2 linked regions of the Alligator mississippiensis genome follow. The protein of the gene in region 1 binds, or shares a complex with, the protein of each later gene. Links are inferred from orthologs where the notes say so. Each region holds a gene or a part of one and is shown on either strand. Other genes may lie near its edges. The genes, in order: PAK4 and INKA1.

The links.
Region 2: the proteins of PAK4 (region 1) and INKA1 are in contact, whole or in part, in a crystal structure (PDB 4XBU), measured with the Homo sapiens proteins. The link is inferred for Alligator mississippiensis from reciprocal best matches to the Homo sapiens genes PAK4 and INKA1. Residues at the interface, in NP_001014831.1 of Homo sapiens: Ser331, Gln358, Arg359, Glu361, Leu362, Thr404, Asp440, Lys442, Ser443, Asp444, Phe461, Leu475, Val476, Gly477, Thr478, Pro479, Tyr480, Trp481, Met482, Arg489, Glu507, Glu512, Phe516, Asn517, Glu518, Pro519, Pro520, Met524; in NP_976248.2 of Homo sapiens: Gly178, Arg179, Ser180, Arg181, Gln182, Pro183, Leu184, Val185, Leu186, Gly187, Asp188, Asn189, Cys190.

The regions. Positions count from the first base shown.
Region 1 is NC_081838.1:1,207,739-1,217,505, reverse strand, and holds the start of PAK4 (serine/threonine-protein kinase PAK 4), read right to left. Parts: upstream 4,049-9,767; 5' UTR 3,969-4,048; coding exon 3,809-3,968; intron 3,198-3,808; exon of another isoform or gene 2,085-3,197; coding exon of another isoform or gene 2,060-2,084; intron 1-2,059. UniProt on the Homo sapiens protein: Serine/threonine-protein kinase that plays a role in a variety of different signaling pathways including cytoskeleton regulation, cell adhesion turnover, cell migration, growth, proliferation or cell survival.
Region 2 is NC_081835.1:40,909,536-40,919,531, forward strand, and holds the start of INKA1 (PAK4-inhibitor INKA1), read left to right. Parts: upstream 1-6,110; 5' UTR 6,111-6,208; coding exon 6,209-6,259; intron 6,260-9,996. Other genes in the region: CDHR4 (cadherin-related family member 4), read right to left, coding at 5,602-5,749. UniProt on the Homo sapiens protein: Inhibitor of the serine/threonine-protein kinase PAK4. Acts by binding PAK4 in a substrate-like manner, inhibiting the protein kinase activity.

The sequences.
Region 1 (9,767 bases):
GCACTGGAAGCGCCGGGCAAGCTTCCCGGCGTCCCTGCAGGGCCTCGGCTCTGGGTCTCAGCACCCTCGGGGCCCCGCCTGCCCTCTCCCTGCTGGGCACCGCAGCCACTCCACGCCCAGGCGGGGCTGGGGAGGAAGGAAGGTGAGGAGGAAGCTCAGCGGATGTTTATGGGCTTTCCTCCCACGGGGCCCGGCCGGCCGGCCCTTCCTCTCCTGAACCAGCCTTACTCAGGCTCCAGGACCCCGGGCGCTTCCAGGCTCAGGTGAGGCACAGGCAGGGCCCAGCAGGCATCGGGGCCAGCGGGGGCCAGCACAGACCTGGAGGCCTGTCCTCCTGGATGCACAGACCCAAGAACACCCCCCACACCCAGCTCTGGCCCTGCATCCGTGCTGGCGGGGAGGCACCAGGCAGTGCTCGTATGTGCCCCTGAAAGCTGCTTTCTGTCCTCTCCTGGGGGGGCAGGCAACTCCATCCAGCCAGGTCAAAGCCCACCCAGTGCAAGGGAAGGAGGGAGAGGGAGATCCTCCAGTCAGGGCTGCTGGTTCTCCAGGCAGGCATGAACCTGCGTGTTTCTCCGCGGGCAGGACAGGGTCCCCCCTAGACACCGCTCAAGACGTGGTCCTGGTAACCTGGCACAGATCCGAGAGAAGCTGATGGCTCAGAGCCTCCCACCACCCCAAGCATGAACCGTGGAGGCCGGGGTTTCTCCCCTCCCGGGTCCAAGGCATCCAGGCCACGGCTAAGAGAAAGTTTTGGCTCCGGAGATGAGAGGCACAGGTTTTCCTGGCTGCAGAGGCTTCTCTAGCTGAACAGCAGCTCGCAGGCTACAACCAGACCTAGATCATGGAGGTGGGGGAACGCAAGAGACATCTCCAGGCCTGGGCGGATCTAGGATTTTGGAAAGGTGGGTGCACCTGGCATGGGCACATCATCCTGTAAGGCTCAACCGCTATTTTTCTGCAGCTGAAGCAAAACCAGAAGCTTAATTAATAAGGAGCGAGGCTGACACTAGATGATCCCAGTTAAAAGCATAGCAAAGACCACCAGAGCTACGGCCCGCATGCTCGTTTGCTAGATGATCTATCAAGTTTTAAAACAAAAGAACCAGAACACGACGCGCCAGAAAAAGCCAAAAGCCGCTGCGTCACGAGCCCTGCGGCCGGGAACAGTTCATTGGACATCTCTTATTTGGCGCCACACACCAAAACCGTGATTTCTTGAGTGCCTCCAATACGCCCCTGCGACGGCGACGGCGCGAAGGGCTGGAGCTAGAGCTACAAATGGCCTGCAGGGCTGGGGAGAGGAGGAGAGAGGGTCGCAGGAAGGGCAGGCAAGCAGAGAAAAGGCGAGCTTGAAGAGTGGAACATCAAGACCATTAGGAAAGGAGAAAGGGCCGTTCACACCCATGGAGCGGAGAGATTAGCAGGAACCCAGATGATGATAATAAGCCGCAAAGTCAATTGACACCTTGGCTGCTGCTTGGATAGAAATGCCGCTGCCCCTGCCTGGTTTGTGTAAACAGGACTCGAAGTGGGGGGGTGACTGCCCCCCGCCCCCTCCCCAGGCACTTCCGGCAGTCTGCTGCTTTCCCCCCCTCCTGCTCACATGACATGACGGGGACAGATTCATTGTAAAGCCCCCGAAACCCAGGCAGCGAGGAGACAGTCCGGCTTGCGGGCGTTTTTGTGGTTCGGGAGAGAAGCAGCGGCCGGTGCCATCTGTGCCCCCTGCCTCTACCTCCCTGATGCCCTTGGCAAAGACGCCATGGCCCCAGGGCTAACCCCGCGGCCTGCCCGAGTGCAACGCGCCACCTGAGCAGGGGGGAAATGCTCTGCAGGGGCACCATGGAAGTGCCTGGATCCTGTCTGAGCCCTGACGGCGAGCTGTAGAGCAGGGGGAAATTCCAGCACACCCCAGAGGTCCCAACCTATTCGTCATCACCCGGGGCTGGCTCCCTGCAGGGCTGGGTGCCCAGAGCGGGGAGGGAGGCAGGGAGAAGTGTGGCCTTGGCGAGGGGAAGATCTGGGGGGCAGCGGCCGAGAGCCAGGAGGAACTTACATGCCCATTCGTCGTGGGACCTCATCGCGGCCCGTCTCGGGGCCCTCAGTACGCCCAGGCCCCTGGAGAACGAGTCCAGGCTCTGTCTCCTGGCTAATGGCTTCCCCAAACCAGCCGCACGGCTTTAGGCCCCCTCCTTCTGGGCCGGGCCGGCTGGGGGCTCGCCAGGATGACAGGCCCCGGGGCGGGGTGGGGCGCAGTGCCACCCACGCGGGTTCCTGGAGTCCTGGCCTCTGATTCACCCGTCCCCTCCCAGCGGGCACTGGGCTGCGCTGCCCTCCCGCCCGCGGCAGGAGGGAGCTGAGGCACCTCTGTCGGGGAGAGAGAAGTGCTCCAAAGGGGCTGGCCCCAAAACGCAGCCGGCTTTCGGTTGCCAAGGGCTCGCAGGCACGTTCCAAGGTCCTGGACTGGCTACTGCCCCAGGACAGCCTGGCCTGAATGAGAGGGAGAGGAGCATCTTCCCCCGTGCGCAGAGAAGGAAACTGAGGCACGGAGCTACAAAGTAATTGGCCGGGGCTGCAGGGGGGGGAGTGGCCCTGGCCATCCTGAGCCTAAAACCGAGGTCATGAACCCAGGTCGTGTCCCTTCTGCTTCCCCCAAGCCTAGAACCCAGCCTGCCTTGCTCTCATAGACATCTTTAACCCCAAATTGGCCTGCTCAGCCCAATCCTCAACCCTCCAGCTCCACCCACACACAGACCCCAGGCCTTCAGAACACACACCTGTGCACATACACACACAACACAGGCATCCAAGACACACGCGCAGAACGAACCCAGGCATCCAGGAAACACGTACAACCCAGATGTCTGGGACAGATAGGCACATGGACACGCACCCTCCCAGGTATTCAGGACACGGACACACACAACCCAAGTGTCCTGGATGGATACACACACACAACCCAGGCATCCAGGACACACACACACGACCTGGGAATCCAGGATGCACACACACACAGAACCCAGGCATTCGGAAAACACACACACACACACACACACACACACACAGAACCCAGGCATGCAGGAAATGTGCACACCCACCTCCAGGTGTCTGTGACACAGACACCCCCCCCCGGTGTCCAGGAAACACACACACAGAACCCAGGTGTCCGTGACGGATACACACACAAATACACGCACACAGAACCCAGGTGTCCGTGACACATCCCTCCCACCACCAAAGAGCTTCCCCGCTGTGTTCTGCCCAAGCCCCCCTGGCCGCGGCAGGAAGCCGGGAGCCAGGCTGCCCCGGGCCCGGCGGTGCTCCCTTGATCTCCTCGCCCCCTTGCATTATTTAGCCATGGAGGAACCGGGGAATAAACAGCGCAGCCCAGACTCCAAGACGCCGCCCCGGCCTCCGAAATCCAGGCAGGCTCCCAAGAATACGCGCCCAGGAGGCCACCGACCCCCTTGCACCCACCCCAAGAAGGTGGGACGTAAGGGAGCCCCCACCTCCCTAAACAGCCAGCCACGTCCCCCCACCCCGTGGAAGTGTCTTGTCTGGGGGAGGCATCTCTCTCCTGCCAACTGCCCCATGGGACCTTTGCCCTCCTCCTCCTGGGCCCTGGCGGGTGTTAGTACCAGGAGGAGCCAGCGCCCTACCCCGCGCCCATCTGGGTCCCCTGGTCCCAGTCTCTGCCCTCCGCATCCCCCAGGTCCCATGTCCACCCACATCCTGGCTGTTGACCCCCTCCCGGCACAAGGACCCCCCCACACACACACCCACTGAACCCCTGGGAAAGCCTCACGTGCAGCTGGGAGAAAGGCAAAATTAGGCGGAGAGAGGACCCGGTTCCCTGCAGGCTCCCCCTCCGTGCGGCAGGGCATGACAGCTGGGAACGTGCCCACCAACCATTTATACTGGGGTCTTCTAGGTGGCAGGGAGGGGCTCCCCCCCACAACCCACATCACCCGGAGGCCAGAAATACTCAGATACTGGGAAAAGGGGGGAGAGGGGGTAAGGAAGCTGGCTGGAGTGCTGCATAACCCACCAGGCACCCAAGGGTTAAAATCGGGAGTGGGGATGGGTGGGGGATTGGTGCCCGCAGCCAATGGGAGAGCAAGGTTTGAAAACAAAGCGGCCACTCAGGTGCTGGCCTTGGAGGGCGGGGCAAGGCAGAGCCCACCCCCAAAAACCCACCCCAGGCAGGTGCTGGGGGCAGCCCCCAGACCCACAGACCATGGGGCTGCCCGCCCGGCACGTCCAGAGCCCGGGCATTCGCAGCACACACGCCTCCTCCCTCGGCTGCAAAAACCCACCTCGCCGGTGGTAGGAAAGTCCTAAAATCCGCCCCGTTGGCAACCCTGGGCATCAGTGGGGTCATGTCGAGTCCAGCCCCGACGAAACCACCCCAGCTCCGGGTCTGTCCCACATTGCTCTGCGCCGGACTCTCTCCTCCCCCTCGATGCAGAGAAGGCGGCACAAAGAGGCATTTCCCAATGGAGCCCTAGTGTAGACACAACTCCGGCGCCAGTGTGGATGATCCCATGGCTGGGGGAGAGGCTGCCGGGTGCCCGGTTCAACCAGATGACCCGGGAGGGCCGTTTAAACCCTCTGCAGAGCTGAGAATTCGGGTTTCTCCCAGGACAAACTCTTTCCTTCCGGGATCCAGCGCATCCCAGTGTCCCGTTTTAAAGATGGGGAAGGAGCCGAGGAGAACAGAAGGCCCCGCAGCCTCCTGCTGCAGGACCTGCTGGGGGCAGGGAGCAGCCCTGGGCACTGGAGAAAGGCAAAGCAACCACCTCCGGGGGTCCAGGCTCAGACTCGCCGCTAGAGAGAGAAAGCCCCAGTACAGCGCCCCCGCAACCCGCCCGGCCCCAGCAGGTGCACAGCAGAGCCGGAGGCAGAGGAACAGACGACCAGGGAAGCTGTGGGGGTGATCTGATGTCCTCTGGGGATGTCCCAGGCTTCTGGGCTTTGCTGGGTGCCGCCCCCCCACCCCGCTTTCTGCTCCATGTGTTGGGGGGTGGGGTTGGGCTGTGCCAACCAACCCCGCAGGGGCCAGGCTGGAGGATCTAGCCCCTGCGCTCAGGCTCAGCCTGAGGCTTCACTGGGGCAGGGATTTCCCCCCTGGTCCGGACTGGGGGTGGGTTTGCCTTCCTCTGCAGCGGGGGCACGGCCTCGCCCTGGGGTTTCTGAAGCATCCATGACGCTCCTTTGCAGCAGCAGGACGTTGCTCCCGCAGCCCTGCTTTCCCTGCGGCAGATTTGGGGCGATGCCCGGGGCAGTGTCAGGGCCAACGGTCGTGCTGCTCAGAGTTTCGATGCTGGGTTTGTCTGGGCTGGTTTGGACGGGGCTGATCCTGCCTCAGGCCAGGGTTAGACTAGCCGTGACCTCTGGGGGTCCCTTCCAGCCCTGCTCCTCTCTGACTCTCTGCTTGGAACTGGAACGCAGCTAGATCAGGCCCCAAATCCTACCGCTTGTCAGAGCCAGTCCGCGCACCCCCCGCTGCCTTCGCTGGAGAAGGGAAACACCCTGGATTCAACCCAGTTAAGTCACAAACGTGCTTGGAGAGGCGTTGAGGGCAGCAGAAAACCAGAGCCGCCATCAGCACTGGAAGGTTTAAAGCCACGTGGCGCAGGCAGGATCTAGGCCCAGAGACCCCCCAATTCCCACTTCAGACACCCGTGGGGCCGGGGGATGAACGAATAGGGTGCTGGGGTCCAACCTCACTGTCCCTGCTGCAGCTTGAGGCCGTTGCTCCGAGTCCTGCCCACCTGTCCCTGCAGAGAAGGGTCTGTCTCCATCCTCTGCCGAGCGGCCTTCAAGGGGTCAAATCCCCGCTTCTCGGCCTTCTCTGCTCCATACCAAATCACCCCAGTTCTTTCTGCCGTGACAAGAGGGAGCAGGAGAGGTTCGACACAAGCCCCTGCAATGTGAGGTCTTCAAACCGCGGGCCAGCACTGTCCCCTTGGAGGTCACAGAGTCCGGCCTCCTGCTCCAGGCAGGATCAGCCCCGTCTAAACCCTCCCAGACACGGCCTGGTCTGACCCAGTCCTAACACAACCCCGCAGCCCGATCACACGTTACCCCAAGATAGCCCTGGATCTGCCCCGGGGGCTGGCAGGGTCCTGCTGCTCTGGTCTGCAGTCTTACACATCAGCTCCTACCAGGCAGCTCAGACTCCCCCTTTCCGAACGCTCCTGCCGCTGTCGGGTGCTTTCATTGCTCCCTGGAAGCCGGCCCAGAATCGCACGGGGAAGAGGGGACAGCCCAGGAAAAGTATTTGGCAACTGAAAGCCAAAACCACCCACACCCTTTTTTTTTTCCCCCCGCAGCTTTATTTGCAAAAGCCAATTCTCTCTTGCGGTGCTGAACAGCCTTTCGGGTGTCTTGCAGAGCAGACTGGGGAGGTGGAGGACAGAGAGAGCCGGCAAGTCTGCAGACTTGCTGGAAAAAAGGGGGATTTCTAGGAGCTGTCAGCCTTAGTAGATGGAGGCGTCCAGACACGGATCCTTTCCATCCTGTGTGATGTTGTGGTCGGGGAGTTTTCGCCACGGCCGTTCAGAGGCTGACGGGAAGGGAACTGGGGTGGGGGAGAGGTCTGATCCGCTGGGTCGCACGACAGCACGAGTACACGTGAGGATCAGCAATGCTTAGCTCCCATCTGATTATCCTCCTGCGGCCCCTGGTTCCTAGCCTCGCACCTGCCCTCCTCCTCCCGGCTTCCCATGCGATTATCTGCACCCCCACCGTGGAGGGGCTTGGCTCCCCCGTCGCGGCGGCGGCAGATGACAGCAGATGAACGGGGCACGTCTGGAGTGATCGCCCCTTGCTAGCATCTGCTGGCACTCACCCAGCACCCTTGGGAGGAAAAGGGGCAGGCCTGGGTTCAAGACCAATCATCGCTCTACGGGGAAGGGGCCACGTGAGGGAAGGGAAGGGAGGCCATCAAAGCCGCGGAGGCATTCAGAGAGAAATCAATCCTGGTGCTGTGAAGTAGCAAACAGTTCTCGGGGCAGGAAGAAGGGAGAGAGCCCGGAGAAACACCAAACACATCCTTAGCTCCAGCGGCTCAGCACGGGTTGATTCCCTCCCAGGGGGAAAGAAAGCACTGGAGCCCCCGGCAGGGATTGGGGCTGAGCGTGGATCTTAGTCTGTTTTTAATTCCTTTGGGGAAAAAAATAAAGAGACCGCCACTAAAACCCAGAGAACGCTGGGGCTGCGTGCGTCTCGGCTTGGGGCGGTTTTCAGAGAAACTGCAGAGAAGTGGGGGGGAAGGGAGCTCCAGAGGTCACAGCTAATCCGACCCCCGGCCTGAGGCAGGATCCACCCCGTCCAAACCAGCCCAGACAAACCCAGGGTCAAACCTCTGAGCAGCGCGACCGCCAGCCCTGACACCACACCGGGCACTGCACCCGAATCTGCCGCAGAGAAAGCAGGAGGGTGTGGGGGCAACATCCTGCTGCTGCCAAAGGCGCTCCAGAGACCCCAGGTAGAGGCCGTGCCCCTGCTACAGAGAACGGCAACCCCCCCAGTTGTGCCAGTCCAAGCAGGAGGGGAAATCCCTTCCTGCCCCCAGTGCAGCATCAGTCCGGCTCTGAGCAGAGGGGCAAGACCCTCCAGCCAGGACCCCGTGGGACCACTGGCCCATCCCCAGCCCAGCACCTCTGGGGGAGGCTTAAAACCCCCGATACATGAAGCAGAAGGAGGCAGGGGGGATGTGTGCATGGAGCTGGACATCCCCTGGGCACGGGGCAGACATGCCTGAAGCTAGATGTCCCCCCCACAGGGAGACCTAGGGAACCCCACTGACGTTTTGAAAAATCAAAGCCCGTCACATGAAACAGCTTCATCCCCAAATCCTCACCACAGCAACATCATCACCCTCACCTGCTCACGTCTGCATCGCCGACCATCCGAGCGCAATCCAGGAGGATTCCCGGCCCCGAGAAGGGCATGTGGGCCCTGAAGGTTCACCTAACACCTCCCACCCATACAGCAGGTGCAATAAAAAAGGTCCCGAGTAAACCTGGTCTTCCTCATATTCCCTCGACCATCAAGCTACCGCCAAGATAATCCCTCAGTCAACCCACCGCGCTCCTGCGCCTTCATCCAGGAGATAAACTTGGCTAATGAGATCAACCTGATCATAAGGTTTCATGGCAACCACTTTTAAAGAGCCCAGAACAGAGCCTGGTTTCGGGGCAGATTTCGCGGGGTCTAACGAACGTTACCCCTTCGTTTGAGTGCTGTCAGAGGCTCTGGCAACACGGACCAGTCTGAAGGGGGGGATGCAGGCAGGCCACTGCACCCCCTCTGCATCCATCCCTGGTCGTGTCACATGTGATGAAGCACCGCCTGCACCCCGCTTTTCAAAATCCTAGCTCTGAGCACGCCAGATCCTCAAGACAAAGTAACCCTAAAACAAGGGCAACAAAAATGATCAGGGCTATGGAGGTGGCTTCCCTATGAGGAGAGACTAACAAGGCCAGGCCGGGCCCGGTTACAAAAGGAGACGCTTCAATGGGGGGCATAATACGAGTTTACAAAGTACTAAGCAAGGAAGAGAAGCTCAGTGGGGATTTACTCTGGGCCATCTCTCGCCAGGCAAGAATGAAGGGTTACGGCATGAAAGGACCAGTTTAAAATGAACACCAGGATGGTCGTTTCCCCCCAGTGTGGGATGGAAGGGGGGAGCTCATGGCCACCAGATGTGGGGGAAGCGGAGTTTAGCCCAATTCAGAAGGGACTGGTCCAGGTCCTGGAAGAAAGGGGCACTGGGAGCTCTGGGGCACAGCCTCTGAATGAGAATGTCCTGGACCGTCGATGGCTGCAAGGAGGTGGGGGGCAACCCTGCTCAGACCCCCATACTCTGCCTTCCAGCTCCACGCTCTGCCGCCGCGTGACACAGGAGACAGGCAAGACAGACCTAGGGGCGGATCCAGTACAACAGATCTTAGGACAAATGTGCCGCAAAACCCAGGAGCTGAAGCAGGAGAAGGTGAAACTTTTTAAAGCCTTCCCCAGCTGGAAATCCTGAGCAGGCAGGTGCCTGGAAAGGCCTCTGCATTTCTGTGCCCAACAGCTACAGAACAGGTTTTTCCAGGCTCAACAGATCTGCCCTGATCTGGGCGGGCAGAGGGAAGACAATGCCCAGCTCCCCCCTCCGCCCAGAGGCTGGGTGCCAAGAACTCATGGGCTGGCAGGGGGAAAAGCAGGCCGCCATAACCCGTTGCTGGCTAATCTGATACCACTGCAGGGTAAGCACCAGGACAAGAGCAGCAGTGGAGAGCAGGCCCATTGGGAAGGCGGTTGCCTCTGCGGGTTTCTTAGCAAGGTTTTAGCATGTCGGGGAGCCATGGACAGCTGGCTGGATCGTGCTAAGGGCAAGCAAAAGGGCATGGAGCTGGCTGTCTGCATAAGAGGGATGCCGGCAGGAGTGAGATTCATCCTTAGCGGCGTCTGCTTTGGAGCCAGGACAAAACCCAAGCCCTGGGCACCCCCCACGCTACTTCCCAGAAAGCTGCTTCTCGCCTGACTCCCTTCCTCTAGCCCAGGGGTGGATGCAGAGGAGGTGCAGGGCCCTGTTTCGGATTGGATCGACCACACCAGTGGAGAATCGTCAAACAGCCACAGCCTTCAGCGATCAGACATTCCCAGCCCCTCCGCTCCTGGCTTTCAAACATTGCCCCCCGCCCCAGTGTGGCCCAGCTCAAACTCTCCACTGCCCAGCAGACATCAAGTAGAGACGGCTTTATCTAGGC
Region 2 (9,996 bases), on another chromosome or scaffold:
AAGCCAAAGTAGGAAGTGCTGGGTAGGACAGCCCAACTCATCCTCCTGCCAGGGCTTGCTGCTTTACTTGCCCTACCACCTACACCAGCCAAAGTAGCAAGTGCCAGGTAAGGAGGTTTGCACCTGACTTGCCACTATTCCCCTGCTGGGGATCACTATTCTGGCTGCTGCTACCAGGGTTCACCATTGCTTCTCTGCCACTGGTCCTCTAAGATTGTATAGGCAACCCCAGCTCTATTAGACCCTGACCTACTCAACACCATTCCCAGGGATTTCAGCTCTTACTGTTACAGTGAGCATCAGGCCTCTATCTGAACCTACTATAGCAAGTAGGTGCTTTCCCTTTGAGAAGCTGAATAATACCTGTCCCAAATTTCTCCTTCTTACACACACCATTTCCACGCTAAAACTGAGCACCACTCCAGTGCAGCTCCCTAAGGGTCATAAAATGAAATTAGTAGGTAGTAAGTTTAAAATTAACAAAAGGAAGTTCTTTTTTACACAGTGTGTAATTAAACTCATTGCCACCAGACACTGTAGAAGCTGACACTTTAACTGATTCAAAAAGGGATTGGACAAATTCTTGGAGGAAAGGTGCCTCAATGGCTATTGAGCATGTGAATTAGGGGTACAGCCCTAGAATCAGAACTTCCTAGACCCTCAATGCTAAAGGCTACAAGTGGGAGAGGAACAGTGGAAAAAACCCTGGTCATATCCAATTCACTCTTCCTTTAAGCATCTGCTCTCAGCCACTATGTGACACAGGATACAGGGCAAGATGGATCTATGGCAGTGGTGGGCAAAATACTGCCCAGGGGCCAGATCCGGCTTGCTAGGCAATTTCATCTGTCCTGCGGGCACCCACCAATTAATTATACCTCCAGCCCACTGGTGCACTTTGCTCCCACCCTCCTACACAGGAGGGCCCTGACCCCAGCCCCAGCCAGCATGCACAGCTTCCAGGTGCCCTGTCTGCTGCAGCTGCCAGGGAACCTGCTCAGCTTTCCTGGCTTCCAGAGGCTCCTCATCATGCCCCAGCTGCAGTGCTTGCTCCAGGCAGCAGGTAGGGAAGCTGCAGCTGGGTGGCAGCGCGGACCATGGGGCTGGGACTGGCAGGAGCACGGAGCCTGGGGCCTGTGCCCAGTGGGGTGGTGGGAGCACAGGTTTGTGGTGGGCAGATTGTGCCTGACCAATCTAGTCTCTTTCTATGACCAGGTTACAAAACGCCTGGACACAGGAGGAGGGGTGGATGTTGTATACTTAGACTTCAGGAAGGCCTTCGATACGGTATCCCACCCCATACTGGTGAACAAGTTAAGAGGCTGTGATGTGGATGACTACACAGTCCGGTGGGTGGTGAATTGGCTTGAGGGTCGCACCCAGAGAGTCGTGGTGGATGGGTCGGTCTCGACCTGGAAGGGTGTGGGCAGTGGGGTCCCGCAGGGCTCGGTCCTTGGACCGATACTCTTTAATGTCTTCATCAGTGACTTGGACGAGGGAGTGAAATGTACTCTGTCCAAGTTTGCAGATGACACAAAGCTATGGGGAGATGTGGACACGCCAGAGGGCAGGGAACAGCTGCAGGCAGACCTGGATAGGTTGGACAAGTGGGCAGAAAACAACAGGACGCAGTTCAACAAGGAGAAATGCAAGGTGCTGCACCTGGGGAGGAAAAATGTCCAGCACACCTACAGCCTAGGGAATGACCTGCTGGGTGGCACAGAGGTGGAAAGGGATCTTGGAGTCCTAGTGGACTCCAAGATGAACATGAGTCAGCAGTGTGACGAAGCCATCAAAAAAGCCAATGGCACTTTATCGTGCATCAGCAGATGCATGACGAATAGGTCCAAGGAGGTGATACTTCCCCTCTATCGGGCGCTGGTCAGACTGCAGTTGGAGTACTGCGTGCAATTCTGGGCACCACACTTCAAGAAGGATGAGGATAACCTGGAGAGGGTCCAGAGAAGGGCCACTCGTATGGTTAAGGGCCTTCAGACCAAGCCCTACGAGGAGAGACTAGAGAAACTGGACCTTTTCAGCCTCCGCAAGAGAAGGTTGAGAGGTGACCTTGCGGCTGCCTATAAGTTCATCACGGGGGCACAGAAGGGAATTGGTGAGTATTTATTCACCAAGGCGCCCCCGGGGGTTACAAGAAACAATGGCCACAAGCTAGCAGAGAGCAGATTTAGATTGGACATTAGGAAGAACTTCTTCACAGTTCGAGTGGTCAAGGTCTGGAATGGGCTCCCAAGGGAGGTGGTGCTCTCCCCTACCCTGGGGGTTTTCAAGAGGAGGTTGGATGAGTATCTAGCTGGGGTCATCTAGACCCAGCACTCTTTCCTGCTTATGCAGGGGGTCGGACTTGATGATGTATTGAGGTCCCTTCCGACCCTAACATCTATGAATCTATGAATCTACAACATTACCATTGTAGAGTGTAGACCATAGCTATAGGTGAACTTGCATAACATAAGCAGGGTTAAAATCAGACCTGTTGCTCTCTGATGCAGCAAGTTTACAGCCCTAACTCCACACATCCCAGCCTAGAGCCAGCACAGCATCTGGCCGTGTGGCCACCAGAGGGTGCTCCCATTTCGCTGACTGGTGGGAAGTTGAGTCAGATCCCTAGTGCTCAAAACGAAGCTAGCCTTTGCTCATGTCCGACTGCCTTTTCCTTGGCTTGTCTCTGTGACACTCCCCCATGGGAAGTATGCTCTGGACAGTGAGGGCACCCAGCAGTCTGGGTGAGCCGATTCCTGTTCTTTTCCATTGGACCCTTCCCTAGAGCACAGGGGCACAGGTCCTCTGAGGAAGGGGATACCCAGGGAGGGAGAGCTGGGGAACCCAAACTCCTGTGCAGCCTTGCTTCTCTTTGCACTACTGTTTCCCCACTGATCCAAGCAGAGCAGTCCTCTGCCCTATGGCAGGCTCTGTAGTTCCTGTAGAACTGCACAGACCTCATGCTATACCAGTGCATCTGCCAGGGCTGGGAGAGGAGGTAGGCTATGAGTTGGGAATGAGGGACAGCACTAGAACTGAGATGAGGGAGCACCCAGGGCACAGCTAGCAGGAGACTATGGGTAGGGGTAACAGCAGGGCTGTGTGTTGAGGGAGCCCTGGGCTGGCCTAGCACAGGTTGTAGGTTGGGAGTGAAGGGCGCTGGAACTCCTGACTTGGAGAATCTTGGTGTCAGTCGTCACAAGTGCCTTGAGTATTGAAATCATGAATGACACGTGTCCTTGGCGGCTGGGGGAGGAGCATGCAGTAAGCAGGAAGCTCCTGCAGATGCCACTGGCACTGTCAGCAGCTGGGGGGTGACGAGCACCAACCAGGGGTTGGCAACCATCCACAGATGCCTCTGGCAGTGTTGACAGTGGCCAGCGGTAATCTCTGACCGCCCGCAAATGCTTCCAGCAGTGTTGGTAGTGGTGGGGGGGAGGGTGGAGAGTAGCAATCGCCCACAGGCGCCACCGACAGTGTCAGGGGTACCTTTTCATAGGGGGCGCACCACTACGCTCAGGGGGCACACATGCACCCGCGTGCACCTCCTACACGTCACCAATGATTGAAATACTATGGCCAGAAAAGAGCACTCTGTTTAGCCTTGGCTCTTGGCCCTGGTGGGTCAGAGGGTTGCACTTGGGGATGGTTCACAAACAAAGGGATCATCAGGGAGCGGGGAGGGGGGGGACTCTGACCATTTTCCAAGGGTAGGCAGTGTCCCCTTGGCAGATGCCATTGTGGGGACTGGATGGGTGCTCTGGAAAATATGGTATGTGATGACAGAGGAAGATCAGAGCCTGGGTGGATCAGAAGCAAGATATGTAGCCATGGAGGCTGCCTGTCTCTCAGACCAGCCCCCCTACAATTGCCCTATATGTCAGTCATTGCACTGGTTTCCCCTAGCTTGGAAACATGTCATAGGTGCTGGACTAGATCAGAGGTTCTCAAACTGTGGTCTGCAGACCACCACTGGTCCACGAGCTCCATTCAGGTAGTCCACAGAAAGGCTGCGGAACAATCGAGAATATCTGTACTTGTAAGGTAAGACTACTGATATAAAATATGAGTTGTGTGCTTTGATTTGTAGAACAAAAAAAAGTCTATTAAGTGGTCTGCCTAGACACTTAGCAATTTTCAAGTGGTCCGTGAAAAAAAAAGTTTGAGAACCACTGGACTAGATGATCTCTGAAGGTCCCTTCCAGCCTATTTGTCTATATACTCCAAGTTTATTGCAACTGTCAGAGGGTAAGAAAGTTAGTGTCTGTACTAGGTCAAAGACCATGATCCCAGCTTGTCCCATGGCCCTGACCAAGGCAGTTCTAACAGAGTGGGTCCTCCAAGGGCATGCACTGTAGCCTGTCCAGAACCACCCAAAACTGCCAGGAGCCTTGGCACAAGGAAGCCTAAAGTCTGGGTACCAGCAGCTGGGACAAGAGCCCAAGGTCCATCCCAGTATGGTGGGGTGCATGTGAGCAAGGGCAGGAGTGGGAAATGGCTAAAAGGAGGGCTGGGGGCTGTCCTGAAGCTGAGGGAAGTACGCTAGGCTTAGGCTGATCTGTGCCATACATATAGATGCATGGTGGCAGATTCCTGACCCACTTCCTCCCACAGAGAGCATGACCATGTGTTCGTTCCACTTATTTGGGGCTGAAAATGATTAACAACATCTCAGCTGCCCTGCAGCTATACCCACAATGCCCTTCCCAGGCACTGCCCTCCTGCCAGTGCCAGCCCCAGCTGCTCCTGGACATGTGAGGAAAAGCCTGGCTTCCTGCTATAGAAATGGGCTGTCTCAGGCCTGGCTGGGACTGTACAGGCCCTTAGTGAGGGGGTCAGGGCATGGTGCCAATTGCAAGGGGTGGAGGCTACAGGCTGGGAGTCAAGGCTGTTCCTCTGGTTCCCAGGGAATGGCCTTCCTCCTGTGGCACTGCTCCTTGCCCAAGCGTTGGGAAGGTAGAGGCACCTGTGATAGAGACAATGCTTTGTCAGCCTAAGAGCACTCCTTCCTCTGACCAAGTGCTGTGCCAACAGGTCCCTTTCTGGCACAAGGCTTTTCTGATACCACTGTTCTTACCTACCAGTCATAGCCAATTCTTGTTTGTACATCTTGGGATGCACTGCCAAAAGCAAGGGGTTGAGTCCACTGGTCTACATGTGGCCTCAGCATCCTGAGTTGGCCCTGGTCTATGGAAACAACACTGGCCCGGTGGACAGGCTGCTCGTGCCAGCAAGTGTAGGGGAGCTGGGTGCTGAGATTTGGAGTCCCCAAAAACTGCACAGTTAATGCACAGAAGGAGCCTCCAATGCACATTGGCTCCGTGGCCTGTGTCGTGCTCCTCCTGCTCTCCTCAGTCACAGCAGAGGTCCACATATTTTCCAAGGCACCTGAGCCAAGGTACAGACCTGGGGGGAAAGAACACTAGAAGGGCAGCAGCTTACCTCTGTCACTTGTCTGTGCCACACATCGGGTCAGCTCCTATTCCCGTTACCTGCCTACCTCGTTCTTGTTCCACCCTGTTCAAATCCCCGAAAAACAGTCCACCTTCCACTGGGTGCTTTCTGTGCCTTGGTCTCACAGTTGAAATGAGGACCCCTTACCAAAGTAGATGCATGGACGTTTTTTCAAAGGACTGGAGCAGGAAGACTGGGGCAGGATCACCCTCGTGTCTCGCAGGAGGAGCAGGATCTGTCCCAGCCCCTCTGCTCCAGGGAAGGGCCCAGGGTGCAGCCACAGCACAGCATCCATGCTCCTCACAGAACAGACCCGCACTGGGGCCCAGCCCCTAGGGCCGTCTCCGGGGCGCAGCGGCAACGCGCCACCAGCACGCGTGATACAGCGTCCGGCAGCCGCGGCATAGCCCCCCGGGCCCGCCCGCTGCGGGCTGCTCCTACCTGCCCGCCCTGCCCTGCCCTGCTCCGGGCCAGCTGCTCGCGCCTGGGCCGGGACACGCTGCCAGCGGCCGCCGGGCACGCTGCCCTGCCCGCCCCGGGCGGAGCTCGCCTTCCAGCGCCCGCCCATTGGCCAGCCCGGGCCCGGCGGGGGGCGGGGGGCGGGGAAGCGCCGGGCCCATTGGCTGCCGCCGGGCGGGGGCGGCCTTGGCCGAGCCAGGCTGTGCGCTGGGACGCGCCCGGGCACGGGCTGGGCTGGGCTGGGCTGACGGAGCGAAGCGGCCGTCCGGGACCCTCCGTGCGGGGCGGCCCTGCCATGCACCGCGCCCGCCTGGACGTCTCCTCCGGCCACCTCCGCTCCGAAGCGGTGAGTGCGGGGCTCGCGGCGCGGGGGCCGGCGGGGCTGCGCTGCGGGACAGGGGCTGCCCCGCGCCTCGCCTCGGCCGGCGGTGCTCCCGGGCGGGCTCAGGCCGGGCTCCTTGTCGCTGCGGGCGGGACCCGGGCGGGAGCGCAGGGAAGTGGAGCCGAGCCCCGCTCCAGCTCGCGACGGGGCGGGCGAACGGGGTCTCTGAGCTGAGGACATCGGGCACTCAGGGCTGGGCTGAGCACGGGGGCAGGCTGGCACGGACCGTTTCCCATCCGCTCGGGGGCGCCGCTTCGCCCCGGGGCTGTCTCTAGCTGAGCGGCGGAGCCAAGTGCCGGCTTTCCCGGGGTGCTGGCAAGTCGAGGCTGTAGCAGGAGCCACCTCGTGGCAGGACTGCCAGTGCCTGCCTGCCCGCTTCCCTGGGGTGGTGGGTGGATGGGGTGACGCTGAGAGCAGTCGGTGGGGGTGCGAGGCTGCTGCTCGGGCCCCACGGTCCCAGGGGGCTTCACCACTCAGACTAGCTTTGCCTTTAGCAGAGCAAGGGGCTGACATTGGCCCTAGTCTCTTAGTGCTGACCCTGTGGGGCTGCAGTCACTGGGCTTGTCCTGCCAGGCCCTGGGACTGGCTGGAAAAGACAGTAAGGTCAAGCCCCCTCTTCTCCTTTGTGGCTCCACTCTCAGACAAGGGTCTCAGGGGTCCTAGAGTCTGGTTACTTCAGAAAATCTTGGGTTTGGGGCACATGTGATGCACTAGGCAACTTCAGTACAGCCTCCCTCACCAAGCATGTCCCTGACTTGCATGTGCACACCCCTACCATGCATGCACATAAATGCACACACGCATGCACACACATACACAGACTCCCCCACTACAGAGACATACATGTACATATACAGAGTGCCCACCACACACATCCAAACACATGACAGCATGATTCTCTTTCACACACTGTGGCTCTGTGTAGTTAGTGTCCAGGGGAGACCAGTGGGCTGTGATGGATCATCTCTTCCCTTCCTGATGCTTCAGAAAGAAGTACTTTGCAGGAATTTTTACACTGGATTTCAAGATGGTTTGAAATAGAATGTTGCTGAGTGACATCATAATGACATCAGACCTGGGGACTCAGTGAGGCCAAAGATGCTAGTGATATCAGAGTTGGGTGAGACCAGAAATCGGGAAGGCAGTTAGCATAGAGATGGGACTAGTTAATTCTGACACCCTAATGCCCAAGACCATTATATTTTGACAAGGCGGGCACTGGGAAAAAGTGATTCCTGAGGATGAGATCTTTTGGGCCCAATGTCACCTTGCACTGAGTCTGCTCTTGCTATTTCCTCTCACTTGAGTTCTGGGAATTGCCTGGCTAAGGCTATAGACATAAGAAATGTCCCCAGGAGCTTTTGATCAGACCCTTCACCATTTCAAAACCAGGTTTTGGGGTCTCAGAATAGTGTTGTTATTGGGGAGCACTGATCTCCTGCAAGCTGACACCTGGGGGAACTTACCACATTTGAGAAGCTCTGATCTTTGATCCCCATGGCAGTTGTTTCCAATTCTAGTGTTTTACAATAGTGGGGGGCAACCTTTTTGGCAGGCATGCCACAAATGAGCCCCACACCCACCCCAAGTGCCACGTCCATCCCTTTCCCTTCCCTGGCCTACTGCTCAGCTTTCTGCTCCCTGCCCTGTACTTCTTGACCAAGCTGCTTTCTGCTTCCTGTCCTGTCTGCCACTGTGTTGCTTGTCCCATCCCCAGTCTGCTTCATGCCATATAAAGAGGCTGCTCATGCCAATTGTGCCACCTGTGCCATAGGTTGGCTACCTCTGGTTTACATCTCAAGTCTTCCAGTGTTACTGGAGACAGGGCACTGGCCCAGGCCTACCCTGGCCTGTAGTTTTCTGAATCCTGAGCTTCTGCTCCCAATATGCTGTGCTGTGCCTCTTCCTGTTGTGTTTGGTGGGCTGGGTGGTACTGTAGCCAGAAGAGCAGTGCTGGGGCCTGAGGTGATATCTTGGGGCAAAGTTGGACGCTCAGGGAATGGCTGAGGGATTGGGATCCAAAACTGTGCTCCTCTGAATGCTTCATTTTTTGCTTTTGTCTCCTGAAGCTAGCAAAAGTTTGGAATTTTGTTGGGGTTTTCTGGGTCATGTCACCCAACTGGTGGCTCAGGGTGGTTCATGGAGATAGAAGCCTCTGGGGAGGTGCACCTCTGCAGTGACACCAACACGGGTACTGGGTGCAGTGCTAGTGGGAGCAGATCCTACTCGCATCAGGCCAGCAGCATCTAGCAGAGTAGAGGATAGTTCCCCTGGGATTGGCATGGCTTACTGAGTTTCCTAGCTGTCTGACCTTCTTAGTGCAGGCTTGGGGGTTGGGGCATGGAATTGTGACTGTTTGGCCCCTGTTTAGGTTTCAGCTGATGGGGAAACAAGCACAAAGTGGTTTCTTTGAACTGGACCAAAATGGTGGTATGGATTTTTATCTCCACAGTGTTTTTAAAATTTCAAAATTTTGAACTGACTCAGGCTGTGAACATTTTCATAAACATTTTGCAGGATGCAAAAAGCACTTCTCACCCAGGTGTAAACATGGGCTTTTCTTATCACAGCAAAGACAAAAGGATCCTTTGTGGATCCCTGCATTAGGCCTTTCTGTCCCAACAACTTTGGATCCCCCTAGTACCAGCTTGTGCTTGAGCAGAAATAAACCTGATTGTGAAGTATAAATCCAGGTGCCTGGGAGAGCTGCCTGGGTGGGGCATGATGGCTTGCAGGTATTGTAAGTGTGTGGGGGTGGATGAAAGCATGAATAGCCCCACCCCACAGCCCAGAGGAAGAGCTGCAATCCAAAGGTGCTGGGGTGGGCATCAGGCTGAGTTCTGTGTTGGGAAGACCAAACACTGAGGCTTCATATTCTTATTTAATGAGTGGCAAGCTATGTGTAGCCTTTCTTGGTGAGGCTTGTGACATCTGGTCCCCTCACATCAAGTCACATCCCTACTCCAGTCACTTCCTGAAGTACCTTCTCAAATCACATCTGCAAATATTTGGGGCTGGTGTGGACTTAGCATATTACAGATGTGTATAGGAGAGGGCTCAGAAGGTATAGAGAAATGTGAGGGAAGATTTGAGTTCCATTTTTTGATAGAACCTATGCTGGAACAGCTCAAAATGCAAAATGTGTTGTCGCAGACTGGGCCTCCTGGGGTTACTCCCCAACTGTATCTGGGAACATTGTCTAGTGCTGAGAGCATGAACAGGAAGCCAGGGCTTCTGGACTCAATCTCCAGCTCCGCCAGACTCCCTCCATGACCTTTGTCAGCCTCAGCCCTGGATCCATCTTATGCTGAGCCCTTGTCTGAAAATGAAGGGCATGACATGGGCCATGGGCTTTGGGAACCCCAATGGGAAAGCCCCTTTCACTTCATCAGTGAGTAGTAGAATTATCTTTGTGAGAAGCAGTGCCAAGGTTGTACTGAACCTTGCTGGGCAGTTTGGGGTGGGTGGTACATTTTCTTTCTGCCCCACCTAGCATGTCTATGTAAGGAGCTGTATGTTGTGGTGCTCAGCTCAATTGTGTCCCAAAGCAGGATGGCTCCCCCTGTGGGCTCTGCTTTAGACTCCCCTGGGCACTGTGTGGCTGCCCCCATTCCCTTTCTTCTAAGAATTGTGAGTACCCCGAGCACTATGCATTGCCTAGGACTGCTGTTGCAGGAAACACTTGGCTCCTAGGAAGTTGT